Oryzias latipes: one gene and its partners. The protein of the gene in region 1 purifies or fractionates together with the protein of each later gene. This does not show direct contact. Links are inferred from orthologs where the notes say so. Each region holds a gene or a part of one and is shown in the gene's direction. Other genes may lie near its edges. The genes, in order: dhx9, ncbp1 and heterogeneous nuclear ribonucleoprotein D0-like.

The links.
Region 2: the proteins of dhx9 (region 1) and ncbp1 purify together in Homo sapiens (co-immunoprecipitation; 3 studies listed by BioGRID and IntAct, with this or other methods). This does not show direct contact. The link is inferred for Oryzias latipes from reciprocal best matches to the Homo sapiens genes DHX9 and NCBP1.
Region 3: the proteins of dhx9 (region 1) and heterogeneous nuclear ribonucleoprotein D0-like purify together in Homo sapiens (affinity purification with mass spectrometry; 3 studies listed by BioGRID and IntAct, with this or other methods). This does not show direct contact. The link is inferred for Oryzias latipes from reciprocal best matches to the Homo sapiens genes DHX9 and HNRNPD.

What each region holds. Positions count from the first base shown.
Region 1 is NC_019875.2:12,669,225-12,677,402, reverse strand, and holds the start of dhx9 (ATP-dependent RNA helicase A), read left to right. Parts: upstream 1-2,771; 5' UTR 2,772-2,869; intron 2,870-3,379; 5' UTR 3,380-3,450; coding exon 3,451-3,561; intron 3,562-3,631; coding exon 3,632-3,772; intron 3,773-4,000; coding exon 4,001-4,106; intron 4,107-4,178; coding exon 4,179-4,333; intron 4,334-4,506; coding exon 4,507-4,655; intron 4,656-5,115; exon of another isoform or gene 5,116-5,175; intron 5,176-5,261; coding exon 5,262-5,308; intron 5,309-5,723; coding exon 5,724-5,860; intron 5,861-5,939; coding exon 5,940-6,029; intron 6,030-6,217; coding exon 6,218-6,379; intron 6,380-6,467; coding exon 6,468-6,545; intron 6,546-6,609; coding exon 6,610-6,801; intron 6,802-8,160; coding exon 8,161-8,178. Other genes in the region: laminin subunit gamma-2, read left to right, coding at 48-206, 282-381, 523-773. UniProt on the Homo sapiens protein: Multifunctional ATP-dependent nucleic acid helicase that unwinds DNA and RNA in a 3' to 5' direction and that plays important roles in many processes, such as DNA replication, transcriptional activation, post-transcriptional RNA regulation, mRNA translation and RNA-mediated gene silencing.
Region 2 is NC_019868.2:27,749,603-27,757,780, forward strand, and holds the start of ncbp1 (nuclear cap-binding protein subunit 1), read left to right. Parts: upstream 1-2,641; coding exon 2,642-2,675; intron 2,676-4,068; coding exon 4,069-4,157; intron 4,158-4,243; coding exon 4,244-4,344; intron 4,345-4,417; coding exon 4,418-4,574; intron 4,575-4,658; coding exon 4,659-4,766; intron 4,767-5,124; coding exon 5,125-5,246; intron 5,247-5,337; coding exon 5,338-5,407; intron 5,408-5,757; coding exon 5,758-5,973; intron 5,974-6,051; coding exon 6,052-6,149; intron 6,150-6,239; coding exon 6,240-6,303; intron 6,304-6,376; coding exon 6,377-6,487; intron 6,488-7,058; coding exon 7,059-7,123; intron 7,124-7,202; coding exon 7,203-7,265; intron 7,266-7,342; coding exon 7,343-7,417; intron 7,418-8,178. Other genes in the region: tstd2 (thiosulfate sulfurtransferase/rhodanese-like domain-containing protein 2), read right to left, coding at 546-665, 733-841, 913-1,196, 2,126-2,401. UniProt on the Homo sapiens protein: Component of the cap-binding complex (CBC), which binds cotranscriptionally to the 5'-cap of pre-mRNAs and is involved in various processes such as pre-mRNA splicing, translation regulation, nonsense-mediated mRNA decay, RNA-mediated gene silencing (RNAi) by microRNAs (miRNAs) and mRNA export.
Region 3 is NC_019870.2:2,820,178-2,826,990, reverse strand, and holds the end of heterogeneous nuclear ribonucleoprotein D0-like, read left to right. Parts: intron 1-479; coding exon 480-648; intron 649-1,307; coding exon 1,308-1,469; intron 1,470-2,285; coding exon 2,286-2,417; intron 2,418-2,689; coding exon 2,690-2,789; intron 2,790-3,864; coding exon 3,865-4,011; intron 4,012-4,088; coding exon 4,089-4,156; 3' UTR 4,157-5,829; downstream 5,830-6,813. Other genes in the region: vesicle-associated membrane protein 8-like, read right to left, coding at 5,973-6,110. UniProt on the Homo sapiens protein: Binds with high affinity to RNA molecules that contain AU-rich elements (AREs) found within the 3'-UTR of many proto-oncogenes and cytokine mRNAs.

The sequences.
Region 1 (8,178 bases):
AGCTAGTAGTGTGTGGACAAGCAAACAGCTTTGTGTTGATGCTTCAGGAAAGCGTTGGAAATCTGCCGGATCACTCCAGCTTGGGAGGAGGAGTCGCCAGCCTCAGCACGGAGGCAATAGACCTGAAGACGGCGGCAGACCAGACAGCTAGAGGCCTGGAAGCAGATCTGAATGAGGCCGGAGCGTTAAAGGATGATGCAGAGGAGGTAAATTTCCACGCAGGCACCACCCTCCCACCCTCCCCTTGTGGAGTGACGTCATTAGAGATGCTTCTTCTGCAGGTGGCTGTGGGAGCGGCTGCAGCTTCAGACAAAGCCAAGCGTGGCAGAGACGCAGTGGCTCTAACTCTGCAGGACATCAACACCCTGCTGGCTGACATGGGTGAGTCACTGTCACTTTTGTGACAAAAGGACAAACACATTGCAGTGCGCTGCAAGTGAGTGTTTTTATCCAGCAGGGGGCGGTAGACAGAGTCCCTACCATCTCTGGTAGCACCTCTGTGACTTAATGTCTTCTCCTCAGATCGTTCTGCTGTGGGTGATGATCAGCTGAAGCAGCTGGAGGACTCGCTGTCTAGAGTTCGGGAGGAGGTGCACGGCCGTCTCAGGTCCCGGCTGCAGGACATGCGGGAGCAGGAGGACGCTCAGCGCCGCCAGCTGTCTGGGATCAGCATGGACTTGGACCGGCTCCTCGCCGACGTTGCTAACCTGGAGGAGATCCTGAATTCGGTCCCCAGTGGCTGCTACAACACCGCCCCCATCGAGGAGGCCTGAACGGCGCCCCTCCTTGGAGGAGGAACTGAAGATGAAATGAAAAAGTCTCCAATATTTTGCACAAAAATATGATCTCTCTTTGTCTTAGCCAAACTTCTTCGCCAGGTGTTGCCTTCACTGTCTCATGGAAATGTCAGTTTCAAAATGATCTGGTTTGCTGTTCTCTGATTCTGGCACCTGATTTTACAGCAGCAGATGAGAGAACTGTTGATAAATCTGAATTTGTTATTTATTCAAAGCTTGAAAGAAGATTTCAGAAAAGGCAATATTTCAGAGGAAGAGATTTATTCATGGAAGAAGATTTCAAAAGATTGAAAAGATGCTTCTCTAACAGGAATAAGCATCTGATTACAGAAAAAAATAAGAAAAACCAATTCAAATGTTCAAAACTGAATTAAGATTCCTTTGTTGAAGAAGGAAAATTCTGTGTGGACTTCTGAATCTCTTTTATGGTTTCTAACCGAAGCAGTAATTTCTCCTTCCTGCTTCTTTTCTTTGTCATGTTGTTATAGAGTTTTTACCTGATCTGTATTATTTCAGAGCCAAATAAATGAAAGTATCATTGTTTTTCTAGTCTGTTGGTTGGATCAGTGTTTGAATCTGAAAAGAAAAGACAGAATATGTAAGATGGGGCTTTAGAACAAGACACACTGGTTTCACCGTCTCTGTGACTACAGCAGGTTTCTGCCAGAGCCTCTACAGGCGTTTATGGCTACTCTGCTCAGCGACTGACCACCTCAAAAAACTGGATATGGATAGAGAAAGCGTGGTTTTCTCTCCTGTGAGGTTCCTGTCTACAGCAGTAAACAAAGAGCAGCAAAAATGTGCAATTCTATTTCATACTATTGGTTTTATCAGGACTATAAACAGGACAGATTTTCTGTAGATTCTGTAGATTAAATCTTCGGTTGACACTGAAAAAATAAAAATGAAATAAAAATCTATGGTTTTAAGCTAATAAACCTTACAATGCAGGTCATGTTACAGCTATGTCATTTTATAAGAGAGATCTGGTTTTTTCTTAAATTAAAATCAGATGAGAAGTTTAGAAATTAGACAAGGATTTGGTCATTTGAAGATTTTTGTTTTATAAAAATAAACTGATTTGTTAAAACAAAATTTATTCGTGAGAAAAACAATGGAACATCCCACGTAACAAAATAAAAGGTTTTTGTTGACTTGATTTAAAATATAATTTACATTTGGAGTCCATATTTCGTGCTCCAAATATGAATCACACAGAAGCAAGATTAATATTTCCATAGTTGTTACTCGAAATTTGAACTTCTGATTGTTTATGGAACTTACATAAATGCTGAATTGAATTCATGAAGGAGAAATTGTGAAAAATTTTCATTTATTCATTTATTCATTCATTCATTCGTTCGTTCATTCATTTGTTCATTCATTCATTCGTTCGTTCATTCATTCATTCGTTCATTCATTTGTTCATTCATTCATTCGTTCTTTCATTCATTCATTCATTCATTCATTCATTCGTTCGTTCATTCATTTGTTCATTCATTCATTCGTTCGTTCATTCATTCATTCATTTATTCATTCATTCATTCGTTAATTCATTCATTCATTCATTCATTCATTCATTCATTCATCTTCTTCCGTTTGCTCCCTTTCGGGGTCACGGGGCTGCCAGAACCTATCTCGGCCACTTGTGGGCGAAGGCAGGGGGCACCCTGGACAGGTCGCCAGTCTCTCGCAGGGTTGGAATAATTTTAATAATTTAAATTTGATTACAGCAACAACAACAAAAACTTACACTGATTTTATGAATGTTTATGACACAGTGGCCACTTATAATCCTTGTGGACAATGGGTTGATGTTAACCACAATGTAATTTGAGTAAAGGAAACCAACTAGAGTGACAAAAGACAGAAATCTAGTTCTCATCCCAGTAGAATAAAAAAAATCATCATGCAGAGGGGCGTTGATAAAAAAGGATCAACTCACTGCCAGGAGCTAACAGTTCATTTCACCTCCAGAACAGAGGGTGGCGCTGTTGCGCGGTAGAAGAGTTCAAAGCTTCCGCTGTTGCCGCTTTGCAGGAATCTGCACTGCAGACTTGACTGAGCGGACGGTAGGTGTTGAATGTAGTCGTTGATGTTAGAATGAAAATGTTTGCTTTTTTAATATTTATTTTGCATACGTACTTCGTGTCTTACTGGCGTTAGTTAGTTTAGCCTCAATGCGTCTGTCAACGTTTACACCGGTTGATGAATGAAGCTAACGTTAGCATACTAGCATTTTCGTTGTAGTTGTCTCAGTTGCAACTGATGATTCAATGTGGGATCAATTGGGGAAAAATATTGCATGGAGGATCACATTATTGCTTGATGATAGGAGCTGCACGTGGCTAGCTGAAGTATAAAAACGGTCAAACATTTCCCCCGTGACTTAGTAACGTTAGTGTTGTTATCGTTTCTCCCTGTGTGTGTGTCGGCGCACATATGTTTTTCTGTTTAGGGTTTCTTTTACGACACGCACGCAGGCAGCGGTTTACTGTAGCTTCCTGAACAACACTGTATGTTTTGATGTGACGCCTGCCAGTGATTCTGCGGTTGTTCAGAGCCACCTCTGTGTTTTACAGGCAACACTAAGGGACCAGGGCACACCTGAAGCTCGCAGGTAAAGCCCACGCGGAGCTGGAAGCTCGCCACTATGGCGGACATCAAGAATTTCCTGTACGCCTGGTGTGGAAAGAAAAAGCTGACTCCCAACTACGAAATCCGGGCGGCGGGCAACAAAAACCGGCAGAAGTTCATGTGTGAGGTCGGTCTGCATTCACAGCCAGCTGGTTTGTAACCAGACTCTCCCGTAACGTCTCTGTTTGCTCCTGAAGGTGCGGGTGGATGGCTTCACCTATGTGGGGATGGGAAACTCCACCAGCAAGAAGGATGCTCAGACCAACGCCGCCAGGGACTTTGTCAACTATCTGGTCCGAGTCGGGGAGATGAAGGCTGAAGAGGTTCCAGCTCTGGGGGTCAGAAAGCTTTTTTTTACGCTTTTTTAAAGGAGATGTAAAAACAAAGCAAACCAGAGGAACATCTTTCCAATCAATAGAGCATCCAGCTATGTTCAGGCCAGAACAGAAAACCATTTAGAAAGTCAAGATCCATAAAGACTGGGAGACTGCAAGGATTAGTCAAAAGTTTACCAGTGGGCAGCGAACACTTAACCGGAACTGACGGCCTTTTGTTGTTCTACCCAGGCCGTGGCTCCAGAACCCAACCAGCCCGAAGGACCTCCGGGAAGCTTCGGAACCCTCCCAGCCAGCGGGCCGCTGCCCCCCCACCTGGTGGTGAAGGTGGAGAAAGGTTTGAGCCGAACACACCTAACCTGCTGCTCCCTGACTTCAGTCCTCTTCATCCTGTGGTTTCTGTTTTCAGAGGCTGATGCCTTCATCAATGCACCTCCAGGACAGACTGAACAAGGGTTCCCTCCTAGAGGTGGCAATGGGGGAGGAGGAGGAGGGGCTGAGTGGGACAGAGGAGCCAACCTGAAGGAGTACTACGCCCGGAGGGATGAGCAGGAGGCTCAAGCGGTACTGGAGCCAGCTATGTGCCATGAAGCTGCTTTTCAAGAAGATCCCGGTCCTTTTGAGCTGTGTTGTCACATGTTGCAGTCACATGACTGTGACAACATTAGGCGGCTTCATAACAGGTGGGACTGCTCTGCCTTAGTACCGGTCCCACTAATGCGGCTCTCCTGTTGTAGACGCTGGAATCCGAGGAGGTAGACCTGAATGCAAACTTGCACGGAAACTGGACCCTGGAGAACGCCAAGGCCCGTCTCAACCGGTTCTTCCAGCAGGAGAAGATCACCTCCGAGTACACGTACAGCCAAGTGGGACCCGATCACAACAGGTCTGGATCAGCGCTCCCCTACAAGCCGTCTGACCAGATCCAGCCTGACGAGCCCAGGTCTCTCGTCAGTCTGGATCTGGTCTTTTCTGCTGTTCAGATCTGTCAGGTGGGGGTGGGAGAGTGGGGTATTGACAAATGAACTCTAATTAAAAAGCTGCAGCTTCTCGGGTTGGTAAATGTTTCCTCTGAAAGGGGCCACACTCCTGGGCCCGCCGCTCACTGGTAGCACCTGTGTGTTTTTCTGCCGGACTGCTGCAAACCCAGAGAGCTCCTGCGTGTGCCGGCTACACCGGAGAGCCCTCACAGCCACATGCTCAACTCAAAGCCTGCAGAGCGACACTAGAACTCACGACCACGCTGAGGAAATACATGGGGATGGCGTTTAGGTTCTCTAAAGCCCCCCCATGGGTGCAGCTCCGTGGTCTCTGGTCGTGATTTGTGGTGTTGCTCTTCATTGTAGGCTTTAAAACCTGAAAGTCTGGCAGAAAAACGCCCAGGTTTCTTTCTGAGGACACATCAGGTGAGTCTGCTCCTGAGGGATGCTTGGCTTTAGGCTTTTACTTTGAAAGGCACGGGATGTAACTCTGCCATGTTATTTGTCTGCAGGAGCTTCATAGCAGAGATGCAGCTGTTCGTGAGGAAGCTCGGCAGAAGTAAGTTTTGACATGTCTGTACATGAGACCACAGAGACGGTTCTGTGCTGAGATTCTTTACGCTTATTTTAGCAGAGCCAGTAAATAGAAATTGGTGCTTTCCTTAACAAATAGAAAACCTTTTCTCTTGTGTTTTAAGTATCAGAAAGCTTGTATTTTTTAGCATTTTGAAATTTTTCTTAAAACTAAATGACAAAAGACTAATACCGGCAGAAACCAATTCTTTTAATAAATATGAAACAAACGAATCACCCCTCAAATAGGAATAGTTTACTTTCTCCCGCCCCATTGTGCCTTCAACCCTGTTGAGGTGGATGCAACAAAAACCAATCGATTTTGATTCGTTACTGCTGTGCAGAATCCTACGGGTGATGTCAGAGATGACTCCGCCCCTTTTGTGCTGTGTTGTTTACAGAGATCACGGCCCGCGAACACGGATCTAACAAGAAGCTGGCAGCGCAGTCGTGCGCGCTGTCGTTGGTGCGACAGCTGTACCACCTGGGGGTGCTGGAGGCGTACACCGGGGTCACCAAGAAGAGGGAAGGCGAGACGGTGGGAGTTTGTTTTAAATAAAATCCTTTAAAGCAGAAATAAGCACGGATGAAGGTTTGACTCTTTCTGTCATGTCCAGCTGGAGCCGTACGACGTGAACGTGTCTCCTGACCTGCAGCTGCAGCTGAATACTGTGGCCAAGGAGCTCGGAGTCGAGATCCCCCCACCGGTGAGTTCTAGAAGTTCTCTGAAGCTCTGTGCAGCTGGGGATGATCTGATGATCCCTGGGCTCATTCCAGTCTTTAGACAGTCTTTAGTGTGGGCTTTTTCTGCGGTGAACTGTAGATGCTGTTCCCCCTTCTGCCTGTGGGGGCAGTAAATGTGGGTCTAGTTGACATGGATGCTTGTGTCTTTTAGCCTGAAGACCCCAGCTGCCCAGTGTCTCTGATTCAGGGGAAGATCAACACGTTCGAGCCATCGACGCGTCAGAACAGTGCCGGCGTCGTGCCCTGGTCCCCCCCGCAGGTTAACTGGAACCCCTGGACTAGCAGCAACATTGATGAGGGCCCGCTGGCTTTTGTAAGGCTTTTTCCTGCCGCTCTGGAAGACCTCAGAGTCTGAGCAGACACTGACACCATCGTGTCTAAATGTCGTTCCCTCTTTCTAGTGCACCCCTGAGCAGATCAGCGAGGACTTGCGCAATGAGCTGATGTACCAGCTGGAGCACGACGACTCTCTGCAGAAGGTCAGTCCCGCTTTATTGGCGCTCAGGCGGTGCTCTGCACTCTGACTGACGCCGTGTTGTTTAGATCCTGGCAGAGCGCGATCAGCTGCCCGTCAAACAGTTTGAGGACGAGATCATGGGGGCCCTGGAGAGCAACCCGGTGGTGATCATCAGAGGAGCCACAGGCTGCGGCAAAACCACGCAGGTTCCTCAGTACATCCTGGACCACTTCATCAAAGGAGGGAGGGCGTCTGACTGCAACATTGTGGTCACCCAGGTAACGGAACACAGCTGAGAGATGCCCGTGGTCCCTAGCCATGCTTATGTGCTGCACAGAATGCTAATTATCTGAAAGAACTGAGACTGCTAAAGAAAAACCTTTCTAAACAATTACACATTTAGCCAAAAATTATTTATTTTTATGTCAAAAACAGAACTTGATCAAATGCTTAAATACTGACTTTTAATCTCCAGATGCTAACTTTGAAGCCAAAAATATGAAATGTTCTGCTACCATTACTTAATCATAAGAACGGTGAGCAAAAATCCCAGAATCACACGGGGGAATCTAGTGAAGGACCTGCAGAGAGCCGGGACTGAAGTAACAAAGGCTACCATCTAGGCCTGCACAGTATACCGCAAATTTATCGTTATCGCAATATCAAGCTGTGCAATATGCATGTCGCAAAAGACTGCAAATTTGTAATAAATGGTTACCTTAGATGTGGCCAAACAATCTTATGGCAGCTTGAAGTGTTTAATGGATTGAAAGAATCCCTTTCTGCATTTGACCAATCAGATGGACCCCTTCACGTTGTTAACTAATCGGATGGCGCCCTATTATGTTGTATGTTCGCCTCCTATGTCAACAAGGGTCATTTGTAGTATAATTTTTAAGCTGTTGTAATGGAATGGGAATAATATTTTTGATTGCTTTGCTAATTGTTTAAATACCGCAAATTATATCGTTATCGCAATATTAATTACTAATATCGCATATCGCGAGTTTTCTTCATATCGTGCAGCCCTACTACCATCAGTAACACACTGTGCCACCAGGAACTCAAATCCTGCCGTGCCAGACGTGTCCCCCTGGTAAAGCCAGTACATGTGCAGACCCGTCTCTATTACTAGAGAGCATTTGGTTGATCCAGAAGACAATTGGGAGAATGTCCTGTGGTCAGATGAGACCAAAATAGAATTTTTTTGGTAAGAACTCCAATCATTGTGTTTGGAGGAGAAAGAACACCATAGCTACTGTAGGGCATGGGGGTGGAAACATCATGCTTTGGGGCTATTTTTGATGAATGAATAGGGCCATGTATTGTCAGATTTTGAGTGAAAACCTCCTATCAGAAAGGGTATTGAAGATGAAATGAGAATCTAAATAAAACCAAGTAAACCTATTGGGTCTCAAACCCCCTTTTTTTTTCTTCTCAGCTGAACTTTGGTCGTTCTGACCCACCTTTGGTCATTAACATTTTTCATGTGTAAGCCCTGCAGAAAAGCTTTTGCAGTTCTTACAGCAGTGCACATGAGACTGTTGTTGCCATGAAGACTGTGATTTTCTGTTTTGCACCATACTGTCGTGCTCTGGCTAAGAGTTCACATGCACAATCTACTGTTGTGTCTGCAGCCCCGTCGGATCAGCGCC
Region 2 (8,178 bases), on another chromosome or scaffold:
ACTATGATGACAGTAGAGACAGAATTCTATACATTGGCTTCCTCCCACTCTTTTTCCAACACATAAAAGTCCTTTTGACAAACGTAATATTTAACGGATTTAAAATATGTCTGAGAGTAATAAAAATGGCATCATTTACACGTGTATGTATTTATATATGGAAGTGTATATAAATCTATATATATCTGTGTGGATTTCTTCATCTTTACTTTTTAATATTTTCATTTTCCGATCAATTCATGACAGTTTATCCCAAGTTTTATAAATATACATATAGATATTTTTGCTTAAGAGAAACTAATTTCAATGTGGTTTGTAGCTATGCATAATTTTAAGATAATTTAATTCTTTTTTTTTACACTTCATTGTTTTCTTACTACAGATCGGTTTCTTTAAATGGAAAACAGTTCTTTTTTTTTTTTTAAATGTGTTCTTTTTGCTGTTTGGTTCCATCAACAATCATACAACCGTTTAAAAAGTCTATTTGTAGTCCAGTGTCTTAATCCTGATGTAGCCACAGATGAAAAGCATCTCAGAAACTTTACCTTAAAATCTTCTCGGTCCATCTGGAAGAGGGGGTGTGACATCATGGCCCTGGTGTAGAGATCCGTGGCCACGGCGGTTCCACCAACCGTCCCGTTGATTCCTTCTGCCGCCACCCTCACCTGCAGAGAGCTTCCACTTCAGAACAGAGCTTCTCCTCGTGGATCCTACGGAGGAGTTTGTGGTCACCTTCCCCGTTAACTGCAGCCTCTCACACAGAGCTTTCTGCCAGGCGCAGATGACGTGCGGATCCTCCACCTCGCAGTAGCGGTAGTAAAGGAGAACCTTGCCGGGACCGCTGCAGGAGAACGAGAACACGTCAGGAGTGTTTCCCATCGCGTCTGCGGCAGACGTGACACCCTGATCTACTTTTTCAGCAGCTCCGCTGGGACGTGGCTAACGTCAGGGATCCACACAGAAACGTCCGCTTCTTCTGCCTCGCGTCCGTTCAGCCGCTGTGTTTGCTCTTCCTCTGCCAGCTGGCTCAGCGAAGCCTGGAACGCCGTCTGCGCCAGCTGCTGCACTTCGGCGGCGTGTGCTCTGGCCACATGTTTGTGAACGGCAGAGTGTTCTTTGAAGGTCTGGCCGCAGCAGCACCAGGAGGCGCCGGCCTCTGCACTGCAGATCTTTGAAGCCACAAACGAGGCAAAAGACTGAAAAGGAAAAAGAATCAAAGCATTTACCTCAATCAAGCAAATGTATTCTGTTTCAAATACTTCCAGAAATATATGGTTTCCAAAAAAGTTGGACCGACTAAAGGAGTTTCTAAATGTGATGTCTTGAATCATCATCATCATCATCATCATCATTGAGGTTCACGTCAATATTTACGTAATGAGCCAAATTTTGGCCTGTCAATACTCTGATCAAGCCTGAAATATATTACATATCTATAAATGATTTAAGCATTGATTTACATCTATTTGGTCCGGTAAACGGTAATAATCTGTTTATGACAAAAACAGGGAAGAATTTTATATGTCTAAAGTGACAATTTAAAAGAAGCAACAAATTTTTTTTTATGTATTTGTTTGTTTGTGACATCAAACACTAAAAAAAAGCCTCTCTGCAAATTTACCAGTTGGCCAAAAGCCCCCCCCCCTCTATTTGTTGTCCCAGGACAGAAGGTAAATGTGCCTCACTAAATATAAAGTAATCATTTAATGAACGCCTGGTGAAAGGTGAGTTTTCAACTGTAAAATGGTCAAATATGTTTTTAACTACAGGATCTATTTCTAAATTGTTGTGCCTTTTTTATGTTGTTTGTTTTGGTGTAAAGCACTTTGTGTTATCATGTTCTAGAATTATATAAATTTTACATAAATAAAGATTGATTAGATTTGATACACAGAAAAACAAAAACAAATACCAAAGATATTCTCTAACTTTCATGTCTTGAATACCTTAGGTAGTAATAATATTACTACCTAGTAGTAATAATATTACTAATATATAAAAGATGCAAACTGCCCAGAATTGGGTCAGAATCAATATTTAGTTTAGATTAGTTTAGTCATTTTTTATTCTGTTTTCAATCATTCTGCGTTGTCTTTGTGGAAAGAGAAGCCAGATATTCTCCTACCTTTCTCCTGCAGAACCTGTAATATTTTCTGTGAGCAGCAGAAATGTGTTTGTTTTGCTTAATTGATCCATGATCAACCATCGACGTGTTGACCTCCCAGTTCAGAAACTCTGAGCAGACTGCTTCACTGGCTGCCATTCTCCTCAACTGGCAAATTAAATGCACGACAAATATGTTTGTGATCGTAAAAAACGCAACTTTGTGATAGAACGCGTAAATACTGACAAAAAGAGAGATATAAGTTCTCAAACGCGGTAAATACCCTTGTATTTCCATGCGAGTGTGCAGCTCACCGGAAGTGGAAGTTCAGCTTCCGGTTGTACCTTGAATGACCCGGATGTCCATCATTTCAATCGCTCCGCTGTTATTTCTCTGTAAGAAGCTGCTGTTGCTGCTGCTGCCGCCTCCGGACTCTGCCGTTCAAAATAAGCAAAGCTTTTCCCGGATCCACCGGTCTGTCCCGCGTTATTTTTTTTACACCGGGTGTCTGCACGCGTGCAGCTCAGGGGGGACAACATGTCCAGGAGGAGACACAGCGACGACAGTGACGGCAAGTCGCGCGCTGCATGTGCGATTCAAACGTTACGGCTAACGCGGCAGCTAGCTACAGCTACCTTGATTATCTGTATGTGCTATAACTTTAAAGGAATGCAACGATAGCAGGCGTTGCCCCAATATCAAGTATTTTTTTAAAGCTACTAAATAAATTAGGGGATTTTAAAAAATGATTTTTAAGAGATTAAGTTTTACCAGAAAAACCCGGTTCCGTTAGTTAGCTACTTTAGCTAACGCTAACGGCCAGATTTATGTTTTATAACGGTTTCTGGCACACAAAACACATTTAATGTTTGTAAAGACTGGCGTAAGTGTTGAAAGAGACACTTTTTCTGTGGGTTCATCATCATGCGCATGGAAACGTGATGTTACAGCCCTGTGGATTTTGTGATTTATAAAGGAACATTCACAACCAAAGTGTCTCACGGTTCCACACTAAAAAAATATCAGACCTAACAATATTTTTATATAATGTAGGATTAGTTTAGTATGTATTTGTCATTGTATGTATAAATGACTTCTATTGGCTTCCATTGAGTGTTTACCTTTCATTCAGAGATTTCAGTAAGGAGAGAATCAGCAAGGCAAGTTTATTTCTTAAGCACATTTTATGTACAAAGGCAATTCAAGGTCCTTTACATAAAACACTAAAAGAAAAATTTAACAGAAATATTAAAGGAGTTATCACCAAAATAAAAATTTAAAGAACTGAAGTAAATACCAACCTGCATTTAAATAAACTGAGTGTTTCAGCTGATCCAAGGCTTAATTCTGGTAGTCTGTTCCAGATCTACAGAGCATAGAAGCTGAATGCAGCTTCTTCGTGTTTGATTTCGACTCTAGGTACTGACGAAAGAGCAGATCCAGATTACCGGACAGGTCAGAACTGGACTGATGTGGTCTAATATTTGGCTCCTTTGAAGGACCCGAGCAGCAGAGTTCTGAATACGCTGCCGTATCGTCCAGCAAAAACACTGGAACAGTAGTCAAGTCGACTAAAGATCGACTTAACACATAAACAAGTTTGGCCAAGTCCTGCTTAGACATCAGATCTTTATTTTAACCAGATGAAATTATCTCAAAGCGATGTTAAAAAGATGGGTTTTGTGCTTCTTCTGAAAAATCTCTACGGTCTCTGAGGCTCTCCGGCAGGCTGACGTCCAACTGTTTGTCTTTAGCCCTAGACACAATATTCTCCATTTTTCTTCTGTTTACCTAAAGTATATAGGAGGAAACCTCCAGTAAAGTCAGATGGAGTATGTGTGACTGTCGAAACACTAGATTTTATGAGACGAATACACTATTTTCCCCCCAAAACGTAGATTTGTTTTTCTGTCTTCAGTGTCCTCTCAGGTCAGAGGTTTAAGTTCTGTCCTTTTCATTTTTAGGAGGTCAAGCCCACAAAAGGAGGAGAACATCAGAGCCTATTGAGATTGAAGACCGCCTGGAGTCGCTGATATGTCGCGTTGGAGAAAAAGTACGATGGCCGTTTTGTCATAAAGCCATATATTTACTATTTAAATAATTTGCAATAACTAAAGTCCGTCTTTGATCTTTTAAAAGAGTACATCGTCCCTCGAGAGCAACCTGGAGGGGCTCGCAGGGGTTTTGGAGGCGGACCTTCCAAACTACAAAAACAAAATCCTGCGTATTTTATGTGCAGTGTAAGTTGTCCGCAGTTCTCCTCATTCTCAAGCGTAACAAACGGTCCGTTTTCACAAACGCGTCTTTCGACAGAGCCCGCCTCCTGCCGGAGAAGCTGACAGTCTACACGACGTTAGTCGGCCTCCTGAACGCCAGGAACTACAACTTTGGGGGAGAGTTTGTGGAGGCCATGATCCGGCAGCTGAAGGAGACGCTGAAAAACAACTTCTACAACGAAGCCGTTTACTTGGTCTGTTGATGTTCAATGTCTAAACTCGCAGCTGCTGCAGCGCCTTTTGCTCTCGGCATCGTTTAAGTTCTCTGCTCTCTTCAGGTGCGCTTTCTGTCAGACTTGGTCAACTGTCACGTGATCGCTGCCCCTTCCATGGTAGCCATGTTTGAAAACTTCATCAGTGTTACTCAGGAAGAAGATGTGCCACAGGTTTGTTTCTGCACGGCCTCACCTGGAATATTTGTTTGCATCAGAAGTTTCAGTTTATGAACATCCCGTTCTTTTTTTACTTAATGTCACATTTAAGGCGCCTCCTTTTGTTTTACTGCAACGTCTGAGTTTCCCCATTTCAAATTCAGCAAACTCCTTTATTTTTGTATCATCTGATGTTCTCAATGACGACTCAAAATTCCATGACTTGGTTTTGGGAGAACTGCAGTCCAATCAAAAATAAAAATGATTGTTTTCTGTGTAAAAATAGTTTTAGATTTATACAAAAACGATTTTTCAGCTTCTCAATTTGACTTGAAGATGAAGATCAGTAAGCGTGAGACCCTTTTGGCTCCAGGTTCGGTTGGACTGGTTCGTGTACGTGGTTCTGTCCTGCCTGCCGTGGGTCGGCAAGGAACTTTATGAGAAGAAGGACGTGGAGATGGACCGACTCCTGAGCCAGATCGAAGGCTACCTCAAGTGAGACGCGGCCTCTTTTCTGGAGCATCTTTTGCTTTCCATTGAAGCTGTTGTTGGACTGACTCCAGCGCTCTGCTGTGTTCCTGGACAGGAGGAGGGTGAAGACTCACGTCCCCATGCTGCAGGTGTGGACCGCTGAGAAACCACATCCACAGGAAGAGGTGAGCCTTTTGGACAAGCAGGTTTTGAAACGCAAGTCTAAAAAGATGCATTAGAAGGATCGAAGGGGGAAAAAAATCCAGATTGCTTTGAAGAATTTTAAAGAGAAACGACTCCTGTGAGGAGAAACGCTGGAACGTCGGCATAGGAAAACTAGAAGAGGAGAATGGGCCACACTGCCCCCCCCCCCCAGTGAAATTGTTGGGTCTGCTGATAACACATGCAAGGAAAAAAAGGATCAAACTAAATGTCATAATTCATAAAAGAAGTATTTAACATTTCAAGTCACTAAAAGGAGGGTGAAAATCAGCCAAATGAGTTTGAATTCGTCCCTTTTGCTTCCATCTTTCAGTACCTGGACTGCCTTTGGGCTCAGATCCAGAAACTGAAGAAAGACCGCTGGCAGGAGCGCCACATCCTCCGACCGTACATCGCCTTCGACAGCGTCCTGTGCGAGGCCCTGCAGCACAACCTGCCCCCCTTCACTCCGCCGGGACACATGCCTGACGCCCAGTACCCCATGCCCCGCGTCATCTTCCGGATGTTCGATTACACCGACGCCCCGGAGGTCAGTCGCCCGGACCGACCGCTCACAAAAAAACAGCCGCTGCGGTTCTGACCCGGTGTTTGTGTTCGCCTCCTGCAGGGACCCGTCATGCCCGGCAGCCATTCTGTGGAGAGATTTGTTATTGAAGAAAACCTCCACTGCATCATCAAAACTCACTGGAGGGAAAGGAAAACATGGTGATCAGGCGCCGTCACCTGTGAAGAAACGACGCCGGCTCACACTGAGAGTCTCTTTTTCATATTTCTCTGTATTTTTTTGTCCCCCAGTGCTGCTCAGTTACTCAGCTATCCAGGAAAGAATAAAATCCCGCTCAACTATCACATCGTAGAGGTAACTTCCCTTCTTTTAGCCTCCTGTAGCGCGAAGCGTAACTGCTGCGTCATGCGGTTTCTCTGCATTTCAGGTGATCTTTGGCGAGCTCTTCCAGCTGCCCTCCCCGCCGCACATCGACGTCATGTACACCTCTCTGCTCATCGAGCTCTGCAAATTACAGCCGGGGTCGCTACCGCAAGTCGTATCCTGATGCTTCCGCTGTCAAAACCAGTTGGAAGGTCAGACAATCGGGTCGATGAGACACGAAGCAAATGTCCCCAAATGTTCGTCCAGCGCTTAAAGCGTTGTTCAGACTCTTCTTTTTCTGTTTGCTGCATTTAAAAACTGGTTTTGATCGTGGTTCGATAGCATGAACCAGATTCTGCAGCAGCTCAGGTCATCAGGCTACACATCCTGGAAAGTTTGCTATAAAAAAAAAAGATCTAAAACTCAAAAAGGACTCAAGATGTAAACCCAAGATATGGTGGAGATTTAAAACTCCTTTGGGGAATTAAAAACAAAGTAAACCATTCAGAAAACAGAAGAGCAGAGCCGGCTGGTTCCATTAAACAAATCTTGGGTTTATTTTTAAAAAGTCATTTTGTTAAAACAGAATCATCAGATGTGAATACATTTATAACATATATTTTTAAAAAGCAAAAAAAAGGGGGGGGGGGGGGGGATAAATTTGGATTTTATTGGATCATTTTAGCCGTTTTGTTTCTGAAGTTTTCTTGAACCAAACTAGCTGATGTTCCTTGACTGACCTGAAGTTGGCGCAAGCCACAGAAATGCTTTACATGAGGCTGGACACCATGAACACCAGCTGCATGGACAGGTTTGTTTCTGCACAGACAGGATGCATTCTGGGTGTTGAAGTCTTTTCGGTGAAACATTTTTTTCTCTTCTCTTAACAGATTTATCAACTGGTTTGCTCATCACTTGAGTAACTTTCAGTTCCGGTGGAGTTGGGACGACTGGTGCGTAACTCCTGTCGTTCTGTGGCTGAAACCTTTTTTTTTTTCCGCTTTTGTGACACTTTTTCCTCCGTGTGAAGGGCCGACTGCTTGACTGTGGACCTGGACAAACCCAAGCCCAAGTTTGTCAAAGAGGTTCTGGAGAAGTCGATGAGGTACAGATGCTGTTCTCTAACACTTTCATGCATGTTCACTTCAACAAGAATTCACTCAAAGGACAAATTCAAGTGTAGTAGTATGGCCTGAAGCTGCTACGCCCGCCGCCGCCCTTCCACCCCCCTTCACTGGCCACACCACGTCACTTAGAAACCTCACTAGTTCTTCCCATTCTGCCTCTGCCAGCCTGGTCAGGACCGCACAGGACATAAATGGAAAAAAAAAAACCCACTTCTTCTCAAAATGGCGGTTTTATGTTGGTTTTATCTCCATAGCAACCATTTTATTTCTGGGTCTCCTGTGGGTCACGTACAGGTCTGTAATTTTTAAAAGAATCTGCAAAAGTAAACCTTTGGATTTACTTGGCAACATAGGTGTTTTGGTAACCATGGTAACATATTTACTATTCTTATATCACATGCTAAATCATTTCATTCAGCTTGAGCCAACGGTTCGTGTGTTAAATGTTCACAATGCTACGGCAAAAAATGTGCGAGACATAGGGCAACGCCACTTTTGCGAGCTCGCCACGCTAACATTGTTCAACAACTACAATCTTTAAAACCAACCTTTTCCCAAAAACTTCCCAATTGCTCAAAGTTGTTTGAGGTTAGACTGCTCCTAGACTGGGGGGGTGACGATAATCGCATCACCGCACGTTTTTTTTTTTAAGTTCTGCATATGGTGCATGATTGGAAGTATAATAAACACATTCATCTTTGCTGAGAATTTACTTTTTCTGCTAGTCCTGTGTTCAGAC
Region 3 (6,813 bases), on another chromosome or scaffold:
ATGCACAACGATTTGAATAAAGAAATACTCAGAAACACAGTCTAAGCTTAATTTTACCATAAATGTCGTCCATCATCAGAAAAATGCTACAAGAACATGCTAAAAATACCCCAAACACCTTTTTCATTAGTGGGTCTTTGAAGTTCATTTGAAAGTTTCTTTGTTTGTTTCGGGGAGCAGCAATTAACTGTGGCTAAAAAACACAATAGAAAAACATAATTTACATAAAAACATAAATTAAAAAAAAGGAAAAGCTGCCAAATTTGACCCTGTGGGTTCTTCGGGGTCATATAAAAACAAAGAGGCTTTCTTCAGTTCTTTCTGTTTCACTTCTTTCATCACACTGTTCACTCGTTTTATATTTTATGAATGAAAATGCCAGCAGCAACCCGAGGAAAGATTCTTATAGTTAGGACTTGGGTCACAACAAACACAAACTTATACCACGGATCTCCTTCCAAATGTTTTTTTGCTGGCAGGAAGATGTTTGTTGGAGGCCTGAGCTGGGACACCACGAAGAAAGACCTGAAAGATTACTTTGCAAAGTTCGGGGAGGTGGTAGACTGCACATTAAAGCTGGACCCCATGACCGGACGCTCCAGGGGCTTCGGCTTTGTGCTCTTCAAAGACGCCGAAAGTGTGGAAAAGGTTCGATTCTGTTCAATACCTAAATGTTGTTTTTACTGGGGTGGTGTTGAAAAAAACAGTCTGATCTAATCAAATGTCTCTCAGATCAAGGAAATTTTCTTGTAAGCACTGTCTTCTGTTTTGACTTTTTTAAAAAGCAGCTTTTTATTTTTTATTTTTCAAGAATTTCAAACATTCAAGAATTTATTCATAAAACGTTCACCTTTGTTCAGTTTAAATCAACAGATACGTGCAGATTAACTTAACTCATTTAAAAAAAGTTTGTTTCACAACTTTTTTGAAATAAATACATATTTGTTCGAATCACACTGAATTGACAATAAATCAGTGAAGCAGTTTAACATTTAACTGTTTCAGCTCCAAGTTCGTCTTTTATTTTGGAGGCTTAGTCATTTCCTTCATGCGAAAAAAAGCAATAATATTATTTATCAAATAAATTCAGAAGATTTCAGACAAACTCATGAGTGAACACGTCAGCCTTTTGAAATATTTCTTTACGTTTGATGTTGTTATGAGCAGCAGATTTCTGTGGAGACACGCCTCAACATTTTCCTTCTATATTCTGTTTCTAATTATTACATCAGCTTTGATTTTTTTCTTGTTGTTGTTGTGTCATTTAGTGAGTTTTATTTATGTATTTGCTGCTTTCTGTTCTGAAGGTGGCGTCACAGAAGGAACATAAACTCAACGGAAAAGTCATCGACCCTAAAAAAGCCAAGGCCATGAAGAGCAAGGAGCCGGTGAAGAAAGTCTTCGTTGGTGGTTTGTCTCCAGACACCCCAGAGGAGAAGGTCCGAGAGTACTTTGGTGCCTTTGGAGAGGTTCGTGTCGTTTTTTTTTTTACTCAGCTTAAACCAGTTTTTATCCTTTGACACACTTGATTTACTCTTTTTATTTATGAACTTTCAGAAGTTTTGCGTCCAATTTGAGACCTAAAGCGTAACTGCAGACCCTAAACTGTGTAATTCTTCTGTATTTTTCTTTAATTCTCGTCATTAAATGTTGCACTCTCGGCTTCTGTGCTTTTGTGAAAAACGCTCTCAGGGGTTTTCAGGTTTATTTTTTCATTTTGCTCTTTTATTTTGAAACTTGCTCTGACAGGAGGACAAGCGTTTCCTGTCTCACCTCTTATGGTGCAGGACTCTGTGAAGTGTCAGTGCAGCAAATGTTTAGGCTGCCAGTAAAATAAAAGACAAACTCAGGAACAGAGAAACTGAACTGCAGGACAGAATTCATGTCGATTCCTCTAGAATCCAATGCACGTATGTGTCCCATTTAGGCTAGTTAATCCACAGTGCCCAGTAAAAAGGCCTTCATGAGGTCAGTCAGGGGCTTATGTCTAACCACAAAGTCATTAAACTGTTACTGGTTAACAGACTTCAGCAAATCAGCTGCCAACATGAGCCTCATGGGAACAATAAAATCTATTTCTTCACTTTCTTTAACCTTTTATCTGCTGCTTCAGCAAACTCTGAGGAAAAAAGACACGTGGGAAGAATCATGGAGGAAGACCTACAGGTGTGTTTGTGACTAAACGCACCTGTAGTTGCCTGCAGACCTGCTGTGGACATCCTGCTGTTCGCCGACCCGAGTCGTCCAGTCCGCCTCAGAAATGAGCTTCTTGTTTTGGTCAACAGGTGGAGTCGATCGAGCTCCCCATGGAGAACAAAACCAACAAACGGAGAGGCTTCTGCTTCATCACATTCAAAGAAGAGGAGGCTGTGAAGAAGGTCATGGAGAAGAAGTACCACAACATCGGCCTCAGCAAGGTAGGACTAAGTGAGACCATGACACGGACAGAGCTCTTGAATCTGGGAATATTTAGCTGTTGCATTTAGGAACTGTCAGACTGAAGACTGAATAAAATATGTAAGAACTTTATGTTTTTAATTAAACCCAAAATAGTATCTTCTGACTGCATTCAAATAAAGTTCATGTATAGATTGTGAGTCACTGTTGTAACACAGTGGTTCAGAAGTTTTAGACCAGAACAAAGTATGTGAACCCTAAAAGAAGTGAATTGTATGATGGGCCGCCGCAGTGCGAAGTGAAGGTGGCGCTGTCGAAGGAGCAGTACCAGCAGCAGCAGTACTGGGGGGGCAGAGGAGGATACTCGTCCAGGTCCAGAGGAAGAGGAGGCGGTGAGTGAGAGTTTACAGTCGTCTTAATCCAGATTAGACGCTAATTCCAGTTGTTAACGCCGGAGCTTTGGCTCCACTTTAAATGACCATCACTTGTCGACTGTTTACGTAGTTAACGTAATTCCAACGGATTCTGAAGATGTGACAAACTGCTTTACCGTGATGTGCAACACTTTACGCTAAAAACTGAGTTACGTTAAATGTCAAAGACTTTCTGTGTCAACGCATTTTCTTTACATTAGAAGATTTACATTAACTCCATCAATGGTCAAAGACCTACAGTAGTAACACAGTTTGTAAACGCTAACAGAAAATTACATTATTTACATAAATGGTTAAAAGGTTACAGTATTAAAGTAATTCCTACGTTAGTAAAAGAATCACCTTAATTTCTTCAATGGTTAAAGAGTTAAGTGTATTAACGTTATTCCCTTACTTTTGTAAAATAATCACGCTAGCTTCGGAAACGGTTACGGTGTTTACGTCATTGCCTTATGTTAGTAAAAGACTTGCGTTTATATACGGTAAGAGTTACAGTTATAACATAATTCCTTTACATTAGTAAAGCCATTAATCTCGTAAACGGTTAAAGTGGTAAGGTATTGACGTTAGTAAAAAAATTGCGTTAATTTCGGAAACAGTTTAAGGTTACGGTATTGACATAATTTCTTTACGTTGATAAAATAATCACGTTAATTTAACGTTAATCTTAAAGAACTACGTTAATTGCGTAAACAGGCTTGTGTTAATAGTGTCAAAGTCAAATTGTAATGTCATTAATTTCCATTAGTAAAATAATTACGTTAATTCCGTAAACGGTCAGAGTTACGGCTTTAACTCAATTTCTTTACATCTTTAAAAGAGTCACAGTCATGACGTTGATGGTAAAAGAGTTACTGTAGTTGATGAAGAGTGTGTTATTTGCTGTGGCCAGCAACAACTTTGGTGTTGGAGACTTTGCTAATCTAAAGAGTCTTTAAAGATTTGAAAGTGTTTTTGTCATTTCTAGACGTTGAAGCGTTTTCTTTTCTGGGTTGAAAGACATTGTTTATGGTGTAAGTCATGTGACCCGCAGGCCCGAGCCAGAACTGGAACCAGGGTTATAGTAACTACTGGAACCCGGGCTACGGAAATTACGGCAACTACGGTTACGGTAATCAGGGCTACGGAGGCTACGATTATTCTGGATACAACAACTACTACGGATATGGCGATTACAACGGTGAGTGAGGAGGCCTGCCTGCGCTTTGGTCCTCTGTAAAAACGCCCTAACGCTGGCTCTGGCGTTTCCCCTTTCAGATCAGTCGGGCGGATATGGGAAGTCGCCACGGCGTGGCGGTCACACCAACAGTTACAAACCGTATTAAAGAGGCAAACCCTCACCGTCAAGTAGGTATGTAGAAACAACAACAACTTTATTGCTGCTCAACTAAAATTAGCTACATTAACTTTGGTGTTTGTAATTGTTTTGTATAATTTTCTTGCGTAAATTTCTTTCTCTCAGCACCCTCAAGTGCTTTACAGTAGTGGTAACATAGAGGCTACGCTCTTGTGGCGATTGATTTTTTTTTTTATCGGCGGGCCTTTCTGCTGCCTCTTCTTTGTGTTTTTCTTTTTTTAAGTGTAAAGTTAACAGGTAAAGCACTGCTACTACAGTAAAATGGATGCCAAAGTTAAGGATGTGCAAGGAAACAAAAGGAAGTATGTTGTCTCCTAACACTGACATACCTTGTTTGTACCTGCCAGCGGAGCTTCCTTGCAGGCCATGAGCTGACTCCCAGATACTCTCAGGGCCCGCTCAATGCGGACCGGGTACGAGAAGCATACGCTCTCGAATGCTGCCATTTGGTATGGTCTTACAACATCCTGTATCCGCATTTCTAAACTAAACAATATGGGGACACGTCCAGCTTTGTCATCTTTCTTTCCATTTTTTAATTTCTTTGAAAGTGTTATTTAATGTAACAAAAAAAAGAAGTAAAATCTACACATGTAATTGTCATTTTTTACAGGCCCTTACTCCCCCACAAGTAATGACTTTAAATCTGAAAGATTAACTATTTGCTTTTTAAAGGATATGAACAGCTTTCTCTGGATTTTCCAGTTCCCTAATGTTAATATATTCATTCCTAATCATATGTAAAATGTTTTTCTTTATTTAGCCCGTAATCCACCAGCTAAAGCTGGTTCGTATTCGGACTCTACTGTGTTGGGGGATAAAGTGCTTTTACGTTGTGTAATTGTATTGGTCTGTTTTTGTATTACTGACAGCGATGGAACAGACTCCTCTTTTTGTTAATTTTCCCGTAACACATTTTTCTTCTTACAACCTTTGATAAAAATGAGTCAGAGTGTCGCCACATTTGCAGACATTTGCATGTAATGCTTTCTTTAATGTGTATTTTTGACCAATCTGAAGCTTTCTTCCATTTAGACTTCTTCTAGCTTTTTTTTTTTTTTAAGATGTAAAATGTTTAAAATAATTGTTTGTTTTTTATATTGGACACTAAAAACACAGGGGATTCCTAGATTTCTTAGTATTTCTCTCAGTGAGTTTGTTTTTCCCGCATGACTGATGGGTTTCTTTTCTTTTTTGTTTGACAGGTTTGAGTGATGAACGTCTGCAGAGCGCTGGAGGAGCGTTGACCGGAGCCATGATCCAGCAGCAGTCATTACGTAGAGATAGAGCATTTAAAACAAAAAGACCTACGTTTCCTCCATATTTACATACATATTTCAGTGTTCTGCATTTGTTTAGATGGCTTTTAGCATTTATTTGTTCCTCCTTTCCCTGTTGAGTCCTCAACTGCTGCTAGAAAGTGGCTTCATTTAGTCCAGTACTGAAGTGTATCGTTGGTTCCAACAAATCAAACAGAAAATGTGTTTTTTGCGAAGTTTCAGGATTTTCTTTCCTTCATTTTATCGTCTGTCATATATTACATGTTATTACAGAGGTTGACAGTCAAGAACTTACTCTCTCTATATATATATACACAGTGTATTGGACATTAAAAAGGCATCAATAAAAACGTTCTAAACACTTTGGATTTGTGTTTCATCGCTAGAGTTTGTCAAATCGTGGAGTGTTTGTCAGAAAAAGCTTCTGAGATTGAACTTCAGTGAGGATGGCCTCATCCCTCATCTCTGCATGAAGGTCGCTGCACCCAGAGCTTCTCGGTGGGTTCAGATAACCTTGGTGGCGGCGAGGATGATGAGGATCAGGACGACCAGCAGAACCACGCCGATGATGATCATCAGCTTTATGTTCTTCCACCAGTATTTGCGGGCGACGCGCGTGGACGTTCTCTGGAAGGAGTCGGCCTGCAGGAGAAAGAAGAAAAGCAGTCATTTGCTAGAGGCCGGGTCACTCGGCCACTTCACGTGGTTTGCTCATTTTCCACGTATGAAATTCCCGTCTTTCGTGATACATGCGTGATAAACGTGATTCAGTTGGCTTCTTGCGTTCGTCAATGTGGTCGGACGTCAGTCGAGGGTTTCGGCCGACGGGTCTTTACATGAATTCGGTCTTGAGCTTTTCAAATTTTTTGGTTGGTTGAGAATTACGCAGTTTAGTCTTATTTTATATAGTTTATGTGCAATTATTACTTTTCCCTTGTGCTATCTTGTGGGTCCAGATGACCGTTGGGAGTTGGGTCATCTAGACCCACTAGACAGTGCGCTGAACCTTTCTTCTTCAATGATTTGTGATCTTCACTGGTGTCCATGGATCACATGAAATCCTCCTCACCTTTATCCACCTTTGTCATGGTAGGGAGAACACGTCAATGTAAGGGGGGGGGTCATCTGGACCCCACAAGATAGCACAAGGGTTATATCTTACGCCATAACGTTACGCCATGATTTTTGCAAGATGCTTACGCAAATGAGTGTCTTTCCACGAAAGTCTGACAGCCTTCAGGCATGTACCCAGATGTATAACTTTTATGTCACGGCACACATATTACGTTGAAATTATGCAATTGACACCCGAATCACTCCTGAATCGCATAGAAACGGCACAATA